Drosophila melanogaster: one gene and its partner. The protein of the gene in region 2 interacts with the protein of the main gene of each other region in a pairwise test. Each region holds a gene or a part of one and is shown on either strand. Other genes may lie near its edges. The genes, in order: CG5866 and Acp62F.

What was found.
Region 1: the proteins of Acp62F (region 2) and CG5866 interact in a two-hybrid assay, tested with the Drosophila melanogaster proteins (one large-scale study listed by BioGRID).

What each region holds. Positions count from the first base shown.
Region 1 is NT_033777.3:17,413,868-17,417,199, reverse strand, and holds CG5866 (uncharacterized protein), read right to left. Parts: upstream 1,462-3,332; 5' UTR 1,455-1,461; coding exon 845-1,454; intron 788-844; coding exon 726-787; 3' UTR 695-725; downstream 1-694. Other genes in the region: CG42822 (uncharacterized protein), read right to left, coding at 2,801-2,811, 2,874-3,026, 3,094-3,268.
Region 2 is NT_037436.4:2,737,919-2,740,916, reverse strand, and holds Acp62F (accessory gland protein 62F), read right to left. Parts: upstream 1,168-2,998; 5' UTR 1,145-1,167; coding exon 797-1,144; 3' UTR 689-796; downstream 1-688.

The DNA of each region.
Region 1 (3,332 bases), on a different chromosome or scaffold from region 2:
AACCAAATTTTTAAAATGTATTATTATATTTGAAGTCCATTACTTGATAAATTCGAATATTTAATGTACCACAAAACAATACTAGATTAGTTTAAAACAGCAAATTTTCAATCATTTTGTAGTATATATTTTGTTGATCGTGCCAACATTTCCGTCCGTCCGTCCATTATGTATGCAGAATAGGATCTATATCTGAAGCCAGACTTCAACGACTGATGGGTATCTAATAGTCGAGAAAATCGACTAAGGCGTTTATTCTTAAATGGCAACGAGTAATGGGTATCTAATAGTCGAGAAAATCTACTAAGGCATTTAATATTGATTGTTTTGTAATGCATTTTAATTTGTTATCTATTTAATAAGTTACAGTTGTTTCGATTGGCATAAAATGGCCCTGATATTAATATGAGGAGGACCTGAGGGGAGGCTAGCCTTTTTTGTTTTATATATATGGTAAATGATACCATATCTTTAAATACCTTCTATCTTTAAAGATTTAAAAGATCTAGGCTTCCGAATATAGGTTTATGCATAAGATTATCATACATAGGACAACCAGATTTATGTAAATAGTACACACAACACCGACAACAACAAAATTATTTCATTTGACAATATTATATTTCAGAAAAAGAAAACAATACAACTTAGGATATTATATTAGATATTTATATCTATATTTATATAAATATTTATATTTATATTTAGTTATCTTGAGCTTAGAATTAGTGGGCCCTGTAAGCGCTGGGCAGACGATGGCATTCGTGATGACCGATGTGTCTCAAAACTGCAATTAAACAATAATATCATTTGTGAAAATGTTTTAGATATGTTTATAACCAACCTGGCTTAAGTTCATTGCGACGCAGGCAGTTCAAAACGGCCAGTGCGCAGGAGTTCTCCACCCTGTAGCAGAGATGACCATCGGTGGCATAAGCTGGACTATGAACCCTGGGGCAATGGATGGTGGCGTGGCAGTTGCGATGATGATGAACACCATGAGTTCCGTGATATGGTGCCTCCAGATGGTTGTGGTGGATTGGATGCTGATGGTGGGATCCATGAACTTCTTGAAATGGTGCCTCGAGTTGTTGGTTAGGATGTGAACCATGATAGTGGTGCTGAGGGGATCCGTGGATAGGATCATGCGATTCAGACAACTGATGATGATGGTGGGGCTCAGATAGGTGATGGTGCCCTTCTAGGTGATAATGGGGTCCGTGCTCGTGAGGATGCGATTGAAATTGATACAGATGTACTCGTTGATGTTGATGTTCTTTTCCTGCAGACAATGACTCGTTAGGAACGATTTGATGCACTGAAGCATCTTCGACAGGCAGATATCCTTTCTGGGGAACCTTCGCTTCTAAGATAATAATATCCGATCTGCGCAGAAAGGATCCTTGGGCAAGGACCATCCAAGCACTCAGCAAGAAAACGAAACGCAGAGCCATATTTTCTTCAACTGATGCTGATTCACAGGAACCTTTTCGGTTTTATACCCAGAGCACAATAGAAACCGAGTCCAATAATTTAAACTTAATAAGAAACCCATTTTAATTAGAAATTAATTAAAAGATAAGCACCGCAATAGCATCACTAGTGGGCAGCTAATTAAATAATATAAATACTCTCAAGCAGGGCATAAATCACAACCTTGTGGTATATGCAGGCTAGGAACGTTCAACTCGGGAGTTTCTTTACCTAGAGCTCTGAATTCTAAACCCTCAGGTCAACCCGAGTTGACTGAACCCATTCGCATGCTTACATCTTTACAAATGGTCTTAAATATAATGGTCTTTTAATATTTTTATTTTGATTTTGCCCTATAATTCTCAACTGATTCTAGTAAAGACTGTGTGACTGGACGTGTAGTTTAGAGTCACGGAATATTAAAAGTAAACTATTTTACAATGTGTGTATTTAACAGGTGTGATTACTTGGAAACGACTAATGTTAGGTATACAAGTGTTTTAACTGTTATGTACCTAAAACTTATTTTAAAATGTGTGACCCAAAATATAAATAATCTCATAAACTGGAATTGTGACCATATTTCTTCAGCTTTTTATTCACGTTTCATATTAAAATAAAATGTTAAGTTCCTGTTAAGAAAGGGATCACTGAAGAAGATATATATCTATTTAGATTTATTTGTTTACAAAGTGCTACTAAATCTATCTCGCGGACTTCACAAATAATATGTAAGTAATTAAGCTACTGTATTATTCTGTTGTAATTATATTAGTTAATTGAAGTTAGGTAATTGTAACTCTAAAACCCCAAAGCAAACGTCACGTGGTCAACAGAAGTGGATAATTTTAGTGAATTATATTGGACATGCATGGAGTTACGCTTTTCTATCTTTAATTAGTTTAAATAATATTTAATATAATATAATAAGATACGAAATATGTGCTATTCCATTAATAGGATGAATAATATTTATACTGAGCCATATATTATATAAATGTACATTTTTATATAACACAAACAAAATGAAATTTATACGGATTACATATTTATAATATTATGTTAAAGCGAATTTTAAAAATTATTATTATTAAACAATAGTTTTTTACCATATCTTTTAAACTGGGTGTGACTAAAACACTTTTATATTATTCAGCGCACTCGCTTGATTTCTACGTGACTTGTTGGCTGTTTGTTACGCAAACACGACTTCGATATTTGGTTTCATGCTTGAGGCCCCAAAGAGCCCTAATAGATAAAAACAACTAATAGATTTAGGTGTAAAAGTTCATTTACTTTCGTTCACGCTTAAAACATTCTGCGTGGCTTACAAAAAAGCTGTAAAATTGAATAAAGGGAAATAAGTCAACTGTAATATCTAAACATGTAGTTTAACTCACTCTGGCCAGTACGACAGGTGTGAGCCCGTTTTTCACATTCGTTACCAAAGTTTAGGACTTCGCCCTTGTAGATTCCAGTTGTGGGCTGGTAGATGGCTGTACAAATGTCGGCGCATTGCTTCTGACACTCCCTCTTTGTCGTTATGGTCAAGGCTTTTATATAATCAACATAATATTCGTTTGATTAATTCTTATTAAGTTGTAATAAGAAACTGCTCACCTGGCTTTCGATGGCAGTTCTCCTTGTCGAAATAACACTTATTCCGGAAAACATTGCAACCTCCTCCAAGAGCCCAAACAACTTCCTCCGTATCCGGACATTCGCCTGAACAGTTACCCCTAACTTGGCTCAAAGCCACACACAGCAAAAGGCAAATATATAGAGAGAAATTCATGTTTAAAGGCCTCGAAGTTTTGGAATGAACTGAACAGATCGTTTGCCACCTCCACTTATATATA
Region 2 (2,998 bases):
AAGAGAATTATACCACGTCGGCGGCGCTTTAAAACTATTTGGCTTAAATCATAAATCAAAGTGTGCGCCGTTTGGTTGCTGGCCCACTAAGTTTTTAATTAAATCCCAATTGCAGCACCATGCATCACCGCGCCTAATCTGGCCAGCAAATACAAAGTATTCATTCTGTGCATTTATTGTTCAGCTCGAAAAGCATGTAGGAATAACACAGTTCTAAATAATTCACAGTGAAATTTCCGATGTGATTACCATATCGAATGTGTTCCGCGTTTCGCATGGATTGGTGCTGAAATCCCCATTTTTCTGTGTCCCCCAATTGCAGTCACATAGTTCCGCCCAAATGACCCGTAGCACACGAGACCGCTTGCCAAGAAATGCGTTTTCTTTCTCTTAATAGCCATTGTAATGGTCATGACTGTATGTGCGGGTGACGTGCGCTTCTGTGGCTGCCAGTGGGCACATGGCGGTCACAAACACAACCAGCCGCCTGGTAACAGTTGCACCGCCACATTTGCAGTGGCATTTCGGGCAAATGAGAAGTGGGCAGGACTTGGCTGGAAAACTGGGCAGCAGGTGGAATGAAGATTTCGAAAGTATTCTTATAGGTTGCTAGTACAGCAATACAAATTATATTTGCTATGCAACTTCGTTCCAGTTACGTAATTAGTGCAACTAACATTTCGGATTTCTTTTACTATTTGTAATTATCTTGTAATTATAGCTTGTAATTTACTACACATTTATTTACATTTTATTGTAATTTAGTTTAAAGTTTAGCTGCCTTCCTAATAAATTTCTATGAACAGTTGTAATTTCTGCTAAAGCACTTAAAGTTCGATACACCCAGTAGCATATCTTCCTTTCGAACAACATCTTTTGGGCAATCGGATCGCAGAACACAGGCCGGAATCCTCTCATTGATAACATATCCCGGCTTACACACACAAGGAGCTCCGCACATCTTGACGCAGGGTCCATTGCCGGAGTACTCGCAGGTTTCAGGACATGCTACAGGACACTCCGTCTGAGTTCCGTTGGCCGTACAGTCAACTTTAGGTCCTTGCCATCCCATGGAGTCGATGGGTTTGAAAAGTAATAGAAGGCCCAGACAGGCACAGATCTTCAAGCTCCACATGTCCGTCATTGTAGATGGGGAATACGTCTACCATTTTACCCTGATGTGTGCGCCCTATTTATTTCCATCCGTCTGATATTTTAGTATAGAAATTGAAATTAGATTTGCTACGCGATTTTGTTTCAGACCATTATACCATTTGTGTGACTTGCAGATATCAATGGAAAGACAATAAATCTTAAAAAAAAAAAAATAGTGTATTATGTTACTTAAAACAAAGGCGCGTCAGTGAGGGAAATATATTTAGTTTTCGTTGATCCTAGTATAAAATAAATGCTTTTTGGCAGCAGATTGTAGATTGTAGAACATTTTACAGCCTAATTAAACGATTAAGTACTATAAGTGTAGCCACTTTGATTTACTTCCCACCAGCGATTATTTTCGCTTAATCACTGTCAAAAACGAATATTGTGTTTCAAATTGATTCGTTTTGGCCTAAAGCCTTGAAATAGTTTTGAAACGGTTCGGCCAATTGAATAGAGACGCGAATCCTGCCAATTGACTAGCCCATCATGACTAGAATAACCAGACCCAGGAGTACCTCCTCAACCTGTCAGATTTCAGTTCATCGCATCGGGATGCCCAAGTGCCATGCCAAGATGCATAATTTCCCACATATTTTTTATATGGCTATAATATTTGGTTTTGCACTCTTGAGTCATCATTGCCGCCGACTTATTGCGAAACTATGCGAACTGCAAATTTCGCTGGCTATTTTTGCAGTTCTTATTGTTGGCATGCGCTGAGTGGCCAATAATATTTGCAATTATTTATTTCGCCTCTTGGGAGGGGGTGTGGAAGGTGGGGGGCTATTGCCAAACCGCTGAAATATGCGCCATGAATAATTCTCGGCGCACAGTGACTGCCTCCTCCCTCCGGCCCTCCTTGCTCTTCACCACCATGTGCGGAACGTGCGAAAAACTTTTATGTTCTAAAGATTCTGCAACTTTGAACTTTGGCGGCGACGCGGACATGACGACATAATTGCAATATGGCTAATGCAATCGCAATTGCGATCGCAAAGGCAAAACTCTTGCAACACACGCCCAACATTTGCTAGCAATTAATAAATTGAGTTCCCTTTTTTCGCTCTGGTCCCCGTATTTTGCCATGTTTATGAATGAAAATGCGCGCTTTCGTCTCAATTGGTGTCCAATAAATTGCAATCACACTCGTGCGAACACTAATTAGTTTGTAGATCAAAAATTATGATTAGCGACTAGCGCGCTGCAGCTGCTTTCGCGTTTTCGCAGCCTTGGAAAGTGCGTTGACCAACGCGGCGTATGCGCAATCAGTTGACAACCCACACACAAGCTCACAGTCTTGTTCTTGTGGCAACCAAAAGAAAATCGTTCTTCCTCCCATTCGGCTTCTGAATTCTGATTCTGCTTAGACAAATTACATTCGTCTATGCTCGCTGGCTTTATTGCTAATTATTTTTTCTTTTTGTATCTTTGCAGGTGAGTTTCCTTTGTGGCCAATCGATGGGAATCCATTCGAGAGTGAGATGTCATTTATGTTTAGTAAGAATTACAGTGCACTTTCGCAAATGAAAACCAGGAGTATTTTAAGAATTGTAACATTCAATTTGCACTTCATAACTGAGTGCTATTTAAAAAAGATATATTCATACTAGAGTGATCTTTTGAAACTCAAATATCTGAGTATAGGATTTGAAGGGTATTTCCAAATGTGGAATTTCAACTGTGTTCACTGTAATCTCCAGCTAACGAGGCCTTGTCTAATCGTTTCTCACCTCGTTCCCATATTGAATGTCCTTGGTTTCGCCGATTTGGGGGAAGGGTATGGCCACTGGAGGCATCCATGCAACATCACAACACAAACTTGACCGCCGACGCTGCC